3 linked regions of the Xenopus tropicalis genome follow. The protein of the gene in region 1 interacts with the protein of each later gene in a pairwise test. Links are inferred from orthologs where the notes say so. Each region holds a gene or a part of one and is shown on either strand. Other genes may lie near its edges.

What was found. The genes of interacting proteins can lie anywhere in the genome.
Region 2: the proteins of tk1 (region 1) and unc119 interact in a two-hybrid assay, tested with the Homo sapiens proteins (2 studies listed by BioGRID and IntAct). The link is inferred for Xenopus tropicalis from reciprocal best matches to the Homo sapiens genes TK1 and UNC119.
Region 3: the proteins of tk1 (region 1) and crmp1 interact in a two-hybrid assay, tested with the Homo sapiens proteins (2 studies listed by BioGRID and IntAct). The link is inferred for Xenopus tropicalis from reciprocal best matches to the Homo sapiens genes TK1 and CRMP1.

Annotation. Positions count from the first base shown.
Region 1 is NC_030686.2:26,184,327-26,191,262, reverse strand, and holds the start of tk1 (thymidine kinase, cytosolic), read right to left. Parts: upstream 4,131-6,936; 5' UTR 4,113-4,130; coding exon 4,047-4,112; intron 1,958-4,046; coding exon 1,926-1,957; intron 1,538-1,925; coding exon 1,424-1,537; intron 860-1,423; coding exon 766-859; intron 683-765; coding exon 593-682; intron 500-592; coding exon 380-499; intron 1-379. UniProt on the Homo sapiens protein: Cell-cycle-regulated enzyme of importance in nucleotide metabolism. Catalyzes the first enzymatic step in the salvage pathway converting thymidine into thymidine monophosphate.
Region 2 is NC_030678.2:34,704,150-34,710,439, reverse strand, and holds part of unc119 (protein unc-119 homolog A), read right to left. Parts: intron 5,448-6,290; coding exon 5,334-5,447; intron 2,990-5,333; coding exon 2,887-2,989; intron 1,903-2,886; coding exon 1,730-1,902; intron 1,116-1,729; coding exon 1,003-1,115; 3' UTR 1-1,002. UniProt on the Homo sapiens protein: Involved in synaptic functions in photoreceptor cells, the signal transduction in immune cells as a Src family kinase activator, endosome recycling, the uptake of bacteria and endocytosis, protein trafficking in sensory neurons and as lipid-binding chaperone with specificity for a diverse subset of myristoylated proteins.
Region 3 is NC_030677.2:25,659,668-25,665,794, forward strand, and holds the end of crmp1 (dihydropyrimidinase-related protein 1), read left to right. Parts: intron 1-885; coding exon 886-1,027; intron 1,028-1,306; coding exon 1,307-1,477; intron 1,478-1,708; coding exon 1,709-1,888; intron 1,889-3,066; coding exon 3,067-3,232; intron 3,233-3,428; coding exon 3,429-3,520; 3' UTR 3,521-4,382; downstream 4,383-6,127.

The DNA of each region.
Region 1 (6,936 bases):
TTTGGATGGTCACCTACAAGTTAGCAAATAAAAGCAAAGATTTGATTGGTTGCTATGGGCAACATCACCGGTGATGTTGGTTTATACTCTATAATAAATATGCCCCTATGAATATATCTAAACCAAATTAAGCAATATGGCCACACCATTTGTGTGTATGAAATTAAGTACAAGGAAAAAATTATTTGCACATTACCTGTATTTAAAGTACAATAACATAACAGAAATAATGCAATTTATTGGATTTACCTGTGAAGCAAAATATTTGCAATAATTTTGCTATCTGTCTATAGAAAACGTAGCTGGCATTTTTTGATGCACAAATAGCTCACATGCAGACAAGGACATAAATAATACCTCCAGAAGACTATTTACATACCTCCTTTTCTGCCCCTAGCCGCTTGGTGTATGCAGCCTCCCGATAACACTCCATGCAAACAGAGTTGAGTTTTACAACACTTTCTGCCAAAGGCACCAAATTCAAGATGTTTCCAAATGCCTAAAAATGTGCACAAAAAGGTGGTAAGGGCCACTTAAAACCCATGTAAAAAGCACAACACATTGCATTCTTATACTTGTAACTACAACTAACCTTCCTCTGAAATGTGCCATCCAGAGCTGCTACAATCATAGTCTTTCCACGATTTGCCATTTCCTCACAAAAATCTACAATGTCAGGGAACTGAATGAGAACAGAAGTTTTATTATCGGTCATCAGAAGTCAGGTGAAGAACGAACTTTAAAGTTAAATCAGGAAATACTCACAAACTGTCCTTCATCTATTCCTATAACAGAACAGGCCAAAGCTTCAGCGGAAACATCACGCAACTGGCAGGCAGATACAGCTGCCATTGTGTTCCTGCAAGGACAAACAAGCATTAACATCTCAATCTCTATACTTAACAGTTGCTTTAAAAAGGATGGGCACAGCAATGTAAAAATACTCTACATGGTTTGGAACAAAGAAGCACTGAAGTCCTCTGTAAAAGTAGTACAGTTATGGAATGCATTAGCTGGAAACCCTTTCTCCAAAAAGCTTTAAATTAGGGGAAGGCCATCTTCCATCGACTCCATTTTAATCAATAAAACAGTACCGTCTACTTTTGTTAATTTGTATTTAGATGATTTTGTGGGGTAAATTAATTTTGCTCCACTTTAACTCATATTTTAAGGTAACTACACTTCTGTGAATTCCCAAAAAGTGTTATTTGCCAAAAACATATAAACCATACTCTACACCATGAAGGTCCTGGCAATTATAGCCCATAACAATTGTTACCATGTTACCCAGTGCAGTCCTATATGATTTTTGGGCATGCTTTTTAAAATCAGTAAATACAAATGTACCACAACCAATGATATGCGATATTTCTATATGTAGATAAGATGAGCTTAACAATACAGAATGTGTAAAATTGCTTACTGGTCATGTGTAGCAAGATGCTCTTTGCTGTAGCGTGTATCTTTCGCATACTTTATAAGCATGCACTTGTACTGTGCAATCTGAAACCGTCGCACTCTGCGCATCAGCTCTGTGCTGTAAAATATACAGAAAATTTGTTCAGCAGAATAGGAAAATAAGCAGTCTCATGCGATGACATACAGCAGTTAAAGGACAATAAACATACTTTTTTAAAAAGGCTTACTATAATACATACTGCAGCACTCTAAAAATGGATGCAATGTGAGCAAATACCAAACAGCACCACCATCCATTCAAAAAAAAAAAAAAAAAAAAAAAAAAAAAAGAAGAATTGTCCCAACGCAGACCAAGACTGATTCCCCTACTGCCCTCCTTCCAAAGCACTTTAGCCCATTGGAAGTAGCGTGCCCCATTGCCATAGCAACACACTGTTCTCAATAAGGAACATCTAGATTACAGCTCATGAGAGAGAATATAGAATTGCGCGGTCCTTTGAACTCACCTTTTTCCAGAAAACATTGGCCCAAATATCACCTAAAAGTAAAAACAAATGGGTTTGAAATACAAATTAACACACAAACCAACTATAGCAGTCATGGTATATACACTTTCATTTGATGGACATGTATACTTTTTAACATCTTTTATCATTAACCATGTAGCTAATTTGAGCATTTTGTGTTCTTTGGGGCATTTTGTCTTTTAGTTTACATATTGAAACTGCCCATTGCTTTGTTAGGACAACCTTAACATTCTCAGAGTCTTTGTGCAACTCCACTTCTGTAACATGATAAAAATAATTTCTATACAATACAGAAGTATATATCAGAAGCATTTTATATTTCACTGATCTGGAAGGCCCCATGTCTCCCGAATGAGCCAATACCAGAATTCTGACTTGTACAGGTCATAAATTCCAAACATAAGCAGGTTTTCAAAGCAGTGCAGCAGAAATCAGCATACAATTGCATGGCCAAATAATTTCCAGTGGTAGCAATGCTTTGCTAAAGTGGATTTCTAATAAATTTTAGTAAAAACTAACTCAAACCTCTCTGTATTTTATCTTCAAAATGTGATAAAGGTACCATTGTATGGCACTATAAATAGGACGGGTCTTCTGGCCCTGTATCCATACAAAGGTTCGCCAAAGACCGTGAAATGTAAAGGCCCCAAAATGAAAATAATAAATAAAATAGTCATGGCAGTCTCTTCAACTACTTCAAAATTAGCACACAGACCAGATTTTTACAATACTGCTTGTTTCCTAGGGGCTGGAGAACAAAGGAGCAGCATAAACGCCGCTCTCCTCCCCACCTGTGAGTGCGGCAGAATGTAGAATCTATGTTGTGGAATGTAGAACCTTTTATCTACAGAATGTGTATTCAGTCAAACCTTTGTTCAAAACACAATTCTGCATTCCATCCTTTGCCAGCATTAGTATTCTATTTATAGATAAACTCTGTAAGAATGCATATGATATATACCCAATCCCAACTACTACAACAGTGATCCCCAACCAGTGACTCCTGAGCAACATGTCACTCCCCACCCCCTTGGATGTTGCTCCCAGTGGTCTCAAAGCAGGTGCTCATTTTTGAATGTCTGGCTTGGAGGCAAGTTTTGGAATCACAGAGACACAGTTTTACTTCAAGCAGAGCCTCCTGCAGGCTAGCAGCCCACATGGGGCTATCGAATAGCCAATCACAGCCCTTATTTGGCAACCCCAAAAACCTTTTTCATGCCTGTGTGGCCCACCAACACTTTTTACAGCAGAGTGTGGCTCACAAGCAAAAAAAGGTTGGGGATCCCTGTACTAAGACACTGGGAATAGTCTTTGCCAACACTTTATGGGGCTCACATACAAAAGAAAGTGAATTCATTGTGTGCCATAAACCCCCCTAGAAAATAACCCTGAATATCAGGCTCAGACTGCCAATCTGCAGATTTTGGTACATGCCACAAACAGTCACTATTTCTGGAGCCTGTCCCTGGCTGTTTAGGCCTCTGTGTGCTTGAAATAGCAGGTTCTGTTTTGAATCCCAGCCCCTATGATGCCATATGTGCCACTACCCTAAAAACCAGAATTCTTAGCAGTCTTTCCACTTACTGCTAGAATTATTTGGCACACACCATAAGCTTCAAGGGCAGGGATATATTTTGTTTTGTTCTTTCCAGGCACCAGAGTGCAACCCCTAAGGCTGCCACATTTGGTACATGCCCTTGGGTACTTATATAAAAATGATAACCCCACTAATAAGGAACAAAGTCCCTGCCCTGTACAGTTGCACTTAAATATATACTTAACCCAAATGTAAGTCTATATACAAGATGTATGTCTGGGAGCTGCATGATGCAGTGTGTTGTGCCTCACAGCCCTTGGTGTATAATACTGAGGGCAAATATAATCTATACATGCACCTGAGCCCACTATTAATACACGTTCCCTTTAGGGGGCCTCTCATAAAGATGTGTTAGGCTAGATACAACACAAAAACTCCCTTGCAGCTGTCATATAACAAGAGTGCTCAGCCAGTTTCTCCTAGAACTACAAATCACTTCACTTCATGACAAGTCATCTGGAGAGTAAACTGCATGGCTAAATGTAATGCTGTGCCCGGCTTACCTGGATCTGGCCCCGGGATTTGCTGGGCGAGCCTGGCATGATTTCGGGTACGTTGAGGCAATTCATATCGGTACCAGGCGAGAGCAGAGCGCGGGAATGACTGTGTCCGGTACAGTCACTTCTTTCAATACAACGTCTGTGCATTCTCCCGCGCAGCTCTGTCCAATCACAGGCGGCGATGGTGTACGCTAGCCAATGGGATTCTACAGCCCCCGCTGTTATGAAGATGAGGAAGGAGGGGATTCAGCTTTCACTGGTTGGCCTGGTGTTTGGCAAACGAGTTGGAGGTGGCGGGAAAAGAAAATTAAATAAACATGAATTTGTAACTAGTGGGACCCTGTAATGTAAATGTTCTTTTCCAGTTAGCGAGGGAGTATGCAAGGGTCAGTTGCATATAATATGAAGGAAAGCTTGCGGAACGCTTCAATGAAATCTACCGCTGATACCGCAGCGAAATCCTGTTGTGGGTTGTGGCACTTGTTAGAACGATGGCTGACGCGTTTTGGCACTAGTATTACGCTTAGCCTGTATGTTTAAAGAAGTGCTTCACAATTTTAATAAAATCACCCCCCCCAACTCTGTCCCTTTTGCCAAAGTAAGAATTTTTGCAATAGAAGAAAATACATTTTTAAAAAAAAAAAAAATTGTGCCAATAGCAGATATTTATTTTCAGAGAGAGCTTTCCCAGCTAATAGGGGCTCCATGCCCCGCTAATAGGGGCTCCATGCCCCGCTAATAGGGGCTCCATGCCCAGCTAATAGGGGCTCCATGCCCCGCTAATAGGGGCTCCATGCCTAGCTAATAGGGGCTCCATGCCTAGCTAATAGGGGCTCCATGCCCCGCTAATAGGGGCTCCATGCCCAGCTAATAGGGGCTCCATGCCCCGCTAATAGGGGCTCCATGCCCCGCTAATAGGGGCTCCATGCCCAGCTAATAGGGGCTCCATGCCCAGCTAATAGGGGCTCCATGCCCAGCTAATACGAGCTCCATGCCCAGCTAATAGGGGCTCCATGCCCAGCTAATAGGGGCTCCATGCCCAGCTAATAGGGGCTCCATGCCCCGCTAATAGGGGCTCCATGCCCCGCTAATAGGGGCTCCATGCCCAGCTAATAGGGGCTCCATGCCCCGCTGAAGGTCTCTGACTTTCTCCTTTGTCATATTACCTGCTATTACTGCTACTGCCCAGTTTCTCACTACTTTGTTTGTATAGTATTAATCAGATTGTCAGGAAGTATAATATCATACCTCCCAACATTTGAAAAATGAAAAGAGGGACAAAAAGATTTGGCACGCGCAGCACGGCAATTTTTGACCACGCCCCCTTTTGTGGCCACGCCCCAATTACCACATCCCATTTTTAAAAAAATAACCCCTTTTATATAGATCAAATGGCGGGCGCAGACGAAAATGTGCTATACCCTCATACTGAACGACCTAAGGAAAACAATATAGCAACTCCTACATTAAAATACAAGTATAGAGAGAAGGCAGTCAGTTATAAGTGAGTTATAACTAAGTACCAGTTTTGCCCCCCCATACACAGTACCCCCATACACAGTAGCCCCCCATACACAGTAGCCCCCCCATACACAGTAGCCCCCCATACACAGTACCCCCCAATACACTGTACCCCCCAATACACTGTACCCCCCAATACACAGTAGTCTCCCATACACAGTGCCCCCATACATTGCCCCCTATACAGAGTAGCCCCCTATACACAGTAGCCCCCTATACACAGTAGCCCCCAATACACAGTAGCCCCCAATAAACAGTGCCCCTATAAACAGTAGCCCCTAATACACAGTACCCCCCAATACACAGTGTCCCCCTATCACAGTAGCCCCCCATTCACAGTACCTCCCATAGGCGCAGCCTTCGTCTGCGGCTTCGTTATGCCTCTCCTTGTGCAGCGCGACAGGCCCTTTTATAAGGTTGTGCCCGTGCGTAATGACGTCACACCCACAGGCGCAACCTTATAAAAGGGCCTGTCGCGCTGCACAAGGAGAGGCATAACGAAGCCGCAGAAGAAGCAAGAACATCCGGCTACAGCAAGCGCATCCCGCTGTGCCGGATAGTTCCATGTCCCGCAAAGGCACCATCGGTTCAGGGACTACATAAACGAGCCGATGCAGTCCCGATACAACAGAAAAAATTAAACCTGCTCGATCAAGATCTGGCTGATTTCAGGCCAGATATCGGTCGGGCAGGCCCATCGTTCGTGCCCATACACAGGCAGATGAGCTGGTGAATTGGTCTAAAGGAACGATATTGGCAGCTAGAAACGGCCGTATATGGCCACCTTTTTTTTTAATATTTTTATTTTTAAAATATTTTTCAACATATATATAAATTGCAAATTATATGTAACAGTGTCATCAATGGTTACATCTTGTAAAGAACATTTTAGCCGTAACATATGTTTTCTGCTTTTGTCAGTGCATATATTGTCTATTGGGGCGCAGCCCCTTATACATATATTTCCGGTTCCAACAAAGTTATCCCATTTATTAACAATGAAATCTGTAACTCACTTATCCGTAGTGAATAGTCCTTTTTTATGATAATATAAAGCTGTGACATTCTGTTACTCGTGTATACAGGGCCGCCATCAGAAATCACGGGGCCCCTCACAAAAATTTTTTTCTGGGCCCCCCTCCCACAAATACAAAGGACTCACAGACATGAGACATTGGTAGCCAGCAGGGCCCCCCCTAGTACATTGGTAGCCAGCAGTGCCCCCCCTAGTACATTGGTAGCCAGCAGCCCCCCCCTAGTACATTGGTAGCCAGCAGTGCCCCCCCTAGTACATTGGTAGCCAGCAGCCCCCCCCCTAGTACATTGGTAGCCAGCAGGGCCCCCCTTGGAAAATTGGTAGCCAGCAGTGCCC
Region 2 (6,290 bases), on another chromosome or scaffold:
AAAGAAAAAAAAAATACTTGCCTCTGTGAGCTTGTTCCCCAGGAGGAGGACCGGACCATTTGAAATAAATATGCAGCGCTTCTTGGTGATATTTAAATTAAAGACAAAAAAAAATAAAGGAAAAAAACAAACAATTGCTCACAGGTTGTTACTGATTGTACTCCGTTCTAGTCTCCATGATGGATTACATTGCTAATATTGTTATTTCTGCACAATACAGTGTAACCGTAAACAAAACTTATTTCAAATATATCAGATCAGGTTTTACCTTGGATGGGCCTCATTGCTTCAGACTCATAGGTAACTAGGCTGGACTCAATAATAATGTAATTTGCAATCATGGATGGAACACTTAATCCTTAACGATCTATGCACAATTTTGTGTTTGTTTTTTGTGTAATAGCCATCTCATTAGAAATGAATGGGAAAATGTCAAACAATACTTAATGCCTAGAGAATAACAAGAATCCTAACAAGTGCAAGCCCAAAGAGGAAGAACTGATTAAATCTTTGGCTTGGATTTCCTTGATAACAATGTTTTTTTCCCAAGCTGACATTTAGTAAAAAAAGAAACTACTGAATGATTTTTTTGTCCTTTCTTCTCTTAGATAGAGGCAAGAATATTGATGAAGAACTCACAAGCCTGTCATATGAGAAAGGTTGGTCCTAAGAAGACTTAGATAAGATGCAAGAGTCCTTGTTCCAGGAGAACAACCCTTTATATGGAGCAAGAGAGAAGTATTTATTTAGGTTTATCCTTATCCCACATTCATGTTGGGAAGGGCTGATGAAGTCCACTGCCTCAGATTTTGCAGTTTGACGATTCTTGCACTATCTGAATGTGCTACAAAGACTGGGGTACAGCCAAAAATCTCCTACTTGCAAACAGTATATTGTTTCCTGGATTGTTTGCCTACGGAAAGTGGGTGTTATCCCTTACGTAACTGCTATGGGGAAAGGGGACTGCTGTTGATGCTTTCTCGCTCGTGCTATTTTTGGGGATCACGGACCTCCGCTATATGAATAATCTGCCTTGTTGTGCATCACAAGTTTGTTGTCCACAAAGTAGAAACTGTCCGATTGTGTCTCATATGGGTGCAGAATCATTTCGCGAACTGCAAAATAGAATGAGAAAAAAAAGGGGAAACAAGATTTTTATTTTGCAATATTTATTAAACATCAATCTCAAACAAAATGGACCTTCCATTGCCAGAATGTTACAGAATATTATGAGTACAGATTTATTTGGCAAAAATGTACTTTAAGCCATCTAATTCTTTATCTTACAGTCTCAGGGTAGAAGCTTGCACACAAATGGTGGATATGTCAGCCTTACATGCCAAGTTCTATTGCCTATTCACCCTAAAAGAATAACCAAACAGCTGGCAGGCATTTTCCCTCAATATTTATTCAGGCTTATGAAAATACAGTGAGAATGGAGTTCTCAGTTGACATCTTATGAAGGTTGGAAAATTACACAAATTCTGGCAATCTGTGGGTTCTGGCAAATGCCAGAGGGGCTGCTGTAAGATGCCATAGACAGTCACTATTTATTGGGCTGGTGGGGGGCTGTTTGGGCCTCTGTGTACTTGAAATGCCAGGGCCTATTTTGAAGTTGAAATCTGCACTGATTCACGGAGAATCAGACTGCATTTGTTATATGAAATAAAATATAACCACAGAGAGGAACAGATATATTTCTAAATACTTACGTAGAGAAATAACTTACTTAGATCCTCAGAGAGCTGTGGAAATTCATAGATATGTTCGCAAGTGTTTTTACTGCTGGGGATACAGAAGCCAAATTCAAAATCGAAGCTTTTTAATAGCTGCTCACGAAAATAATGCCGTTCAATCATGCGGAAGTTATTAATGGGCTTATCACCAACTGTGAATTCAACTCTGCAATAAAATATATACATACATAAATATAAAAGATACATGTTTGCTTCAGTAACGCAGACTTTGTGATCAGTCAGAGGCTGCTACACAAAAGGGCTCATTTATGTCAACAAGTGCAGTGAGTAAAGTGCAGTTTTGAGCCACAATGCAAATGTTCTTTTTCTAAAACCAGTGGATCTCGTAACACAGCATATAATACACAATGCAACTACATTCTTTTGTAATAATGGACACAACTGTGTCTGTTGCATAAGGGTTGCAACCGAGACAAGTATTTTCTAAGCCTGCCTGTCATCTGGTGTTCTCGGGCATCATTTCTGGTGTTTGCCATGACGTGTGTGCCCTATTCCTTTAGCACAACTGTGCTGTGGCAATTGACAGAGGGCACGAGGGGAACCCTGGAGCTACCTCCTGGTCCAGAGGTGGCAGTAGCTCCAGAGTACCCATGCGTTAGTAGGTGCTGCGGCACACGATTCCAAACAGAAGACAGAAAGGAGTGGTGCCCAGAGCAACTATAGGAAGGAGCAAGTACATTTAATGACAGAGTTGTTATGCAATGCTCTCACTATACTTATACCCCTGCCTGGCCCAGGACCAGTTGAAGTAAAATACTCGTTGGTGCCTCCAACCTCATGTGGCCCAGGCAGACTTTCACATTAAGCACAATATGAGTCTGTTGTATGTAACACTATTTTCATAGCTAGTGCCATTATGGAGAATGAAATATATTATCCATAAAAGTTGAACTCTAATTTACATGCAAACCATTGCATAAATGTTCCATTTTTATTTATTCTCTCCTCATACTTAGATTAATATACTGATTTTCATGTGCAGAACTGCATGTTCTTAGTTAAGCCATAAAGGAAATGAAAACAACTATCGCACATAGTTTGTATTTACATTACCTGAACCTACTTGCAAATTCTCTCATAGCAGAAGAGCAAGCATTTGCTTATAAGAGTGATCTTTCTAGGCACTTACGTTGCTCCTACTTGGCGCAGTCGCAGGAAAGCTGGAGTGAACTGGTATCGGACAAATCTGCCAGCATTAGGATCAGCATCCTTTTTATCGCCGTGGTCACGTTCTAAAACATAAAATGTGCTATCTAATGAAATGCTATATAAGGGAATTTAGCTTGCCACAACATTGCAAGGATCCAAGGGGTTGGTAAGCAACATGTTGCCCACAAGCCACTGTTTGGGGATCACTGTTATAGAATGTCCTATACCTAGCAACTTTGCAACTGGTCTTCATTATTTATCTTTAATGGTTTTTGGGTTATTTGCCTTTCTCTACTACCTCTACCCAGCTTTCAATTGGGTGGTCACTGCAGGTAAAAAACTACTGCTCTGCAAAGCTACAATTTTATTACTTATCTTTCTATTCAATCACCTGTACTTATTCTAGTTTTATTCAAACCACTGCCTGGTTGCTAGGGAAAATAAGATCCTGGCAACCAGATGGCTGCTAAAATACCAAATTGCTAACCAAAAGCTAAATGACCAAAAAAAACTATAAAAAATGAAGACCAACTGCAAGTTGTCTCAGAATATCTAATCATTGTCTAAATCATAGTAAAAGTTAAAGGAACAGTAACACCAAAAAATGAAAGTGTATAAAAGTAACTAAAATATAATGTGCTGCTGCCCTGCACTGGTAAAAGTTGTGTGTTTACTTCAGAAAGTCTACTATAATTTATATAAATAAGCTGCTGTGTAGCCATGGAGGCAGCCATTCAAAGGAGAAAAGGCACAGGCACATAGCAGATAACAGATAAAACACTATTGTATTCTACAGAACTTATCTGTTATGTTACATAACATATCTGCTATGTAACCTGTGCCTTTTCTCCTTTTTTCCAGCTTGAATGGCTGCCCCCGGGGCTACACAGCAGCTTATTATATAAATTATAGTAGGGTTACTGTAGCAAACACACCAATTTTACCAGTGCAGGGCAACAGTGCATTATATTTTCATTACTTTAAAGCTCTTTCATTTTTTGGTGTTACTGTTCCTTTAAAATAAAGCTAAACAACCCCTTTAACACAGCTTTAGAAGCGCAGCTTTCTGGCGGGTTTGGTTAATCTGTAAAAGCAATCTGTGCCTGGTTATTTAACACCATCAGTATATCCCAACAGCAGGTTAAGGTGGCCTTACATGGGCAGATAAAAGCTGCTGACGGTCACGGAGTGGGCAGCTTATCAGCAGTGCCCGGGGCCTTCAGACAGGCCTGCCCAAACAATAAGCAGCCAGATGATGATCAGGGTGAGAAGTGCATATGCGCTTAGATTGGTCCACTTGTATAGAGTCCTCACCAAACGAGTGGACCTTTCTGCATATGACCAGCTTTAAGTTCCCAACAAACATCCAATGGTACATTCAGACAAAAGGAAAACAAATCCAGCCTGCTACTTAACAGACAAGGAATATGTGCATAAGTCCCTCTTGGAACGGTAATATACCCAAACCCATCAGTTAGCAATGATTGCTATGACTACAATGGAAAACTATTTCTGTAACAACCCTGTATCTTCTAATTCAAGGATTTATGACTCACTTCATTGCATTGCATAAAGTCCCAAATTAAGCCTATAGGTCAAGTGTTACAACAGTTACAATCCTGATCATTGTGAGTAGAACTCCCTTCTCAGCAGTGTGTCAGCCTGGAAATTCTGGGTGCCAGGCGGGTTGAAAATATTGGGTGCTCATTTATAAACACTGGGCAGCTGCAGGTTGAAAGCAAACATCTTATTTGCTGCCATGGGTTACTGCCCACTGCCAAATAAAATATCAAAATAATATATTATATATAATAATATAAAATACACATTTCTGAAAAGCTCTGATTCTAGTAAGGTGCTACATTTGTAGATTGTAAGCTCTTTTGGGCAGGGCTCTCTTCACCTCTTGTACTGGTTATTGATTGCTTTATATGTTACTCTGTATGTCCAATGTATGAAACCCACTTATTGTACAGCGCTGCGGAATATGTTGGCGCTTTATAAATAATTGTTAATAATAATAATAATAATAATAACTACCCAGCTGTGATCACTTCTTCTTTTCAGAATGGGATATTTTCCATGGAGCCAGTCCGGTTTGAAAATAGCATACTATAGCAGTAGCAGCATTGTAATGAAATTTTATTGTTTGGTTTAAATGGCATTAAACGGCACTGCGTGACTAGACACAACCATTTTTACGATCATAATGGATTTAGCTTTACATGAAATACATGACACGCAGTATAATAATCTGATAAAGCACTTCCTGGGTGGGGAGTGTTATTGCCACAGGCTTCCTCCCAAGGCTGAGCAAACAAATACATTTACAATACAAGTGTATATTCACATTTGTGTAAGGGTTCCCCATGTCTGTGTGTTGGGAGATTCTATCCCTTGCTAGAATCAGCATAATTCTGTACATACCTGATGCTGGTGGCTTGGTAATTTCAAACAACACCGTTCCAGACTCCATGTCACGAATTTTAAATCTGGTAAAGTCTATTTTGTAAACGTTTTCTTCAGGGGTACACAGGTAATCTGGATGGGAGTAAAAAATAGCTTCAATCAATAAAACGGTAAGACAGGAAAAAAATATAGGGTTCCTGAAACAGGAGACTGCAGCTAAATTCTGATATAAAACATTATTATGAAAATATATCCCCGTAAATAGTGTTCGGGACTGTTATCAGTTATAATCAGTGCTTAGTGATGTCCTTTGTGTCACATGACTCATTGAAACACGTGGATTAAAAATAATGAACCCTTTGTTCCATTACTTCTATTCCTCCCTGTACATTGCACCGGCTGCTTCCTTTTAATGATTGCATTCCGCCTTCATTTGGTGTCTGTAAAGGTGGCCATACAAGGGCAGATTTAAGATACCAATTTGTTAGTTGGCAGCTTATCTGCCAGAGTATGGGGCCCTCCCACAGTCCTACTTGACCAATATCTGGCTGAAAATCGGGCAGGTGTTGATTTGATTTTCCTGTCTGACCACATTGGCTTGTTCACGCGAGCCAACAGCTTTTATTCCCATTGTGGTGATCTGATCTTTTGGCCTTAGGGCTAAACGATCAGATCAGCCCGATATTGGCCACTTCACAAATGAATGGATCTTATAATGTATGGCCAGCACTACCCAGAAAATCACCAATGGGTGAATGGGTAAGCATACAAAAAACACAAAAATTTACTTTTTTTTTTTACCTTCAGTAATTTACATAAAACTTTGTGCATAAATGTAATTAATTAGATTTATAAAAATAAGTATTTGTCACAAAGACTTGTATTGACAACTTGTTGAGTTGCACAGACGGTTCTTTAAATGCTTCAGTTTGAAAAATGAATATTTTGACCCCTCACTCCTGTTTTCCCCCACAG
Region 3 (6,127 bases), on another chromosome or scaffold:
AACAGTACCTGTACTTGATCCCAACTAAGATATAATTACCCCTTATTGGGGGCAGAACAGCCCTATTGGGTTTATTTAATGGTTAAATGATTCCCTTTTCTCTGTAATAATAAAACAGTACCTGTACTTGATCCCAACTAAGATATAATTACCCCTTATTGGGGGCAGAACAGCCCTATTGGGTTTATTTAATGGTTAAATGATTCCCTTTTCTCTGTAATAATAAAACAGTACCTGTACTTGATCCCAACTAAGATATAATTACCCCTTATTGGGGGCAGAACAGCCCTATTGGGTTTATTTAATGGTTAAATGATTCCCTTTTCTCTGTAATAATAAAACAGTACCTGTACTTGATCCCAACTAAGATATAAATAATCCTTATTGGGTGCAAAACAATCCTATTGGGTTTAATTAATGTTTTATTGATTTTTTAGTAGACTTAAGGTATGGAGATCCAAATGATGGAAAGATCCCTTATCCGGAATACCCTTGGTCCCGAGAATTCTGGATAACGGGTCATATACCTGTATATTCATTTAGATTTACATTACAGGGCAGCTCCGAAACCAGTGCAGTTAACATCAGAATGTAATAATCAGCCCTGCAGCATCAGCTTTTATGACAACCCTCTTTTTCTAAACTGACTCATCACTATATATAATTACAGAATATAATGACAGGCACTCTCGACAAACAAAAATCAAAGATGCCTGGGTGCAGTCCAAAAAACAGAGTACCGCACTCACAGGACTTATAAAAGTACAAAAAGATTTATTCAAAAGTTGTGTCTAACGTTTCGGCTACCACTGCAGCCTTTCTCAAAGACAGTATATATATATATATCTGCATGTGTTTAACAGTATTCAATATTTTTCCGCACAGTGGGGACCTGCAGGTTACGGGCAGCGGACACTGCTCTTACAGCACCGCCCAAAAAGCTATAGGAAAGGATAATTTTACTCTGATTCCAGAAGGAGTCAATGGAATCGAGGAACGGATGTCTATTGTGTGGGACAAAGCTGTGGTAAGTGTCAGGCTGAAGGTAGTTCATCAGATCCTCCCTCCTATGTAAAGTCCCTATAAAATAAACTTCTTCCATTTCTATAGGCTTGGAAAACAAACAAGGGGAAGTAAGGTGTAGATTATAAAAAAAAAAAAAAATACTTCGCAAAATTAATAAGAGCACTGTCAGCAATTTTACATTTCTTTGTTTTGAGGGGTTACCAGCCATGTCAGCACAACTACCTAGTTATCAGTTATCCACTTTCATTGGAAACACCTATTATATCTTTAATTTTTTTAGGCTACCGGTAAGATGGATGAGAACCAGTTTGTTGCGGTCACTAGTACAAATGCTGCCAAAATATTTAACCTGTACCCAAGAAAAGGCCGAATCGCAGTTGGTTCTGATGCTGATGTGGTTATTTGGGATCCGGACAAGATTAAGGCAGTCTCTGCAAAGACTCACAAATCTGTAAGTGAATAAACCTTTATTCAGATTAGGGTTCCTACACATAGAGCTGCATGAAGGAAAAACAACATGGTGCCCGGCCCATACACGTTGGTCAGGTTGGCAGACACGTAAAGCTTTGGCCAGTGGCCCATGTAGACCTTTTGCTCGTAGAAGACATTCATTGACCAATAGTGACCTGGATATGTCTGTACAGGTTAGATGTTCATAAAATATCTTATTTGTGACTCTCAGGCAGTAGAATACAACATCTTTGAAGGTATGGAGTGTCGTGGGGCTCCGCTGATGGTTATTAGCCAAGGAAAGATTGTCTATGAAGATGGAAACCTGCACGTTAACCAGGGCATGGGGCGCTTCATCCCTCGGAAACCATTCCCGGAATACATTTACCAGCGCATCAAAATCAGGAACAAGGTTCGTTCTTTATATACAGTCCCAAACTGGTGTGAAAGATGAAAGGGCTTTGGCTCTGTATGCAATGTATATATGTATTATACAGGTGAATTGTTGTCTATTGGATAACTGGCTTAATAATGAATGGGCCATGTCATTGGTTTGACAAATATAAAAGCAATATAAGGCACATGCACTCAGTGCCTCAGTGCAGCTTACAATCTAAGGTCCCTATCACATTCTAGGGTCAATTTAATCGGGAACTAATTAACCTGCCTGTATGGTAGTTGGAAGGAAAGCAAAGTACCCGTAGAAAACCCATACAGACACTCACTATACAGGCTATAGGAGTTGGCTAGGAAATTCCACTACTTTGTTCTGTCACTGATTTGCTTGAGGGGCTTTTTATTAGCATTGGGTAAATTTGCTGCAGTTCAGAAACCCATGGCAACTAAAGAGCTATTAACTACTGCACTTAATAAAAACTATTCTCCGATTGGTTGCTATGGATTGCTGGGGCATATTTGCCTAGTTTAAATTAATGACCACCGTAAAGCTGCTCATAAATGATAAGGTAACCAACCTTATGGCCAGCTGTACGGGGGGGGCAGATTAGGACCATGTGCAAACTCTTTGGTTAAAGGCTACGTGGTCATTACCTGAATGGATATATCAGGTAGCATAATTCATATCTGGCTAAAACTAGATTGTAGTTGGGGTGGTCAAATATACAGTCAAGAGTGGCCAAGTTGGCAGGCAAGCTGGACCAGGGTTCAGGGGGTCATTCACATAATAGCCATGTGCAAACCCTTTGGGTGAAAGCAAGGTGGTCCTCTCTTGAATGAATATATTGGATAGCCTAATTCAAATCTGGCTAAACCCAACCAGATTGTAGTTAGGGTGGCCAAATACATGGTTCAAGAGTGGCCAAGTTGGCAGGCAACCTGTGCCAATCTATGACCAACTTTTTCATAGGAAATTTGAGCCTCTGCCTATTCATGAAGATGTTCCCGTCAAGCAAAAACGAATTACTTTAGTGGTATAATCAATATACGGTGCATAAAACTTGTTTCTATGAAGGCTGTACCTAAAACATGCTGTTTTGATATAGTCTAAATGTGTTTTATATTATTTATCCCCTCCTTATTAAGAGGATATTGAATGAATTTGCCCATTTATCAGAAGAAATGTTTTTCTAGGTGGCAGGATTAGAACCTGTGTCACGTGGAATGTATGATGGGCCTGTATATGAAGTTCCAGCCCCTCCCAAGTATGCAACTCCAGCCCCATCGGCTAAATCCTCACCTTCCAAACCTCAGCCTCCTCCAGTCAGGAACCTTCACCAGTCCAACTTTAGTTTATCAGGTATGTGGATAATATGAGTCCTTTTTGTTGTGTGCTCAGCTGATAATTACATACCCAAACATCAGTCCGTTAGAAATGGAGGGGTCATCGGATAAACAGAAGGCCAATGAGAAGGGTTGCTGGTCATCAAAGATTGTATTTGTGTCTAACTCATCCTGTGTCTTCAAACATTTAAATGAATGACCCTACATTGTAGGTGCACAAAAAGACGACACTAACCCTCGCCGCACAGGGCATCGCATCGTTAATCCACCTGGTGGCCGCTCAAACATCACAAGCCTTGGTTGATGGATCTGCATCAAGAAAATGAAAGAATCTCACCGCTGGAACAATGTTCCTATCTGTGTCAGTGTTATTGAGCCCACACATTTTTGGTACTACTGAACATGGTCTGTTTTGTATAGAAAGGGATGGTCATTGTGTGGTTAAATGCTTGGAACTATTTTCTCTTTCCCACCCCCACCCTTACACTTGTGCATAGTCATCCCATCCCCTTGGGCATCAGTTCAGTCTCCAACACATTTCACCGAAATGGGTCGGCGACCCCTCTGACGCCCTTGACTGGTGAAAGCATGGAAATACCCATTGCTGTTGTAGAGTAGAGGCTTCCGCTTTGTCTTTGTGCCATACGATAGTCCATTTGCACCATTTAGATGTCTTTGGGTGAGCAGTGCATGGCCTTCTGTTATTCATTTACCCTCCGTAGGTCAGTGGTTGAGTTTCCATTGATGCCAACAAGCTGTCCTAGACATAATGCCAAGACCAAGATTGCCAGCGATAACTAAGAAATGTGAACAATTTTATGTATAATGTAGAATGCTAAATGTTTCATTTCCGTTAGCCTTTTGTACAACCCCACAGCTCACAGCAGCCTTCATGTGATCTCATTGTACAGCTTAGTGTATTCTCATCATTGTAAACCATTTCCAATAACAGACACATACACTTATTTTGGCCGCGCAAGCGACCAGCCTTGCGCGCGCAGTGTTTTGATACGGTCGGTATGGTTAGCTATCTGATTTTTACGTTTTTTTGTACAAAGTTTTCCTTTGTATTCACATGCATTTTTACTTACGGTTCCGTATGAAGTTCTAGATGTGACTCGATGAATGACTTCAACGCTTGTGAAATAAAGAACACAGAATAAGTTGCTTGGGCTCTTGTCTTCTATCAGGTTAATCTGGGCTAAATATTAGCAGGCCTGGACTGGGATTCAATATAGGCCCCGAGTGGCATTTTATGTACACAAAGGCCCAAACATGTAACTAATTAGCCTCCAAGATGCAGAACATTATCATCGTTTCCAGCACTGCATACATCCCTGCACTAGAACTCATACCCACATTGGCATAATAAAGACACTGCCCCAACCTTGCGCAAATAATGATGTGGCCCATGCTACTTTGAGCCACCAATCATTTTCACTTTGTAAATGAGCCCTTATTATATGTAAATGCATTCAGGCAATAAGTTAAACACTAAAGGATAAGTAAAGGTTTACTTAAGGTGCCCATACACGGGCCAATTCTAGCTGCCGATATTGGTCTCTTAGACCGTTTCGGCAGCTAATGGGCCCATGTATGGGCACTACAGACAGGCCTGCCCGACCGATATCTGGCCTGAAATCAGCCAGATCTCGATCGGGCAGGTTAAAAAATCAAGTTGGATCGGGGACCGCATTGGCTAGTTGATGTGGTCCCCGAACCGACATCTTATCTGGTTCCTCAGTTCTTCTTCTGGCAATATGTATTCCTGGCCCTCTCCTGCATCTCTATGTAGCCCCAATCCCATGATGATATTCAGGACAAGTTAGTCCCATATGCTGTTTCTCCTTTTGGGTTCCTACAAACACCTTTGTCTTCCCAAAGTCACCTCTAGATCAATCTGAAGGTCAGCTTCTCACCATAAAGGTCTCCCTTGCATAGAGAGGTTGTTCACCTTGTACTTAACATTTACTTAGTATAACATAGAACATCATTCTGATTTCCAATTGGTTTGTATTTTTTTATTTTAATTGTTTAGCTTTTTGTTCAGCCGCCCTCTAGGAATTTCAGCAGCGATCTGGTTGCTAGGGTCCAGTTTACCCTAACAACCAGGCAGTGGTTTAAACAAGTGATTGGAAGATGAATATACAAAGTGACAACATTGTAGCTTCACAGAGCAATAGTTTTTGGCTGCTGGGGTAAGTGACCTCCATCTGACAGTTGGAAAGAGGTAGAAGAAGACAAATAGTTCAATAGTAAAAAAAAAAAATATAAAAAGAAGACCAAGTAAAAAGTTGCTAAGAATAGGCCATTCCATAACATACTAAAACTTAACTGAAATGATAACAACCCGATTCATTTCCTTACTACGTTGCTGAATGTAATCTTGCCTTGAACATGGCTGTAGATGGAATTCTCTATAGAGGGATAACAAAGTTTTTCATAGATTGAGCAAATATACCAGAAACGGTTATTAGGTTTCCCCTTGTACTGCACAGAATTCAGCAGAAAATACAGTGGCCCAAAGAAACACAATACTGCACACACCACTGGCTGTTTCATTGGCAAGTAAGGGGAAAAAGATGCAATCACACACACAAATAACTGATGATTTTACTGGAATATAATATAAATAAAATATACAGACCAGTAAGGCCTATAGTGTACATAATACATTAAAAAGTATTATATTTCATCATCTTTACATGATACAGGATATAACAGCACTTGTATTGGTAAATCCCTTCCTTCTCAAGTAAATGATACAGTTTCTGGCTTGAAATGTCACAGGAAAACAAACCCTGAGCAATTTGGTATCATGGTGAAAGCAAGGCACATTAGTTACAATTAAGGGGGATGGCCTTTTATTGGCTGCCAATTGGCAGAATTGCTTTCATCAGGGGAACCCTTA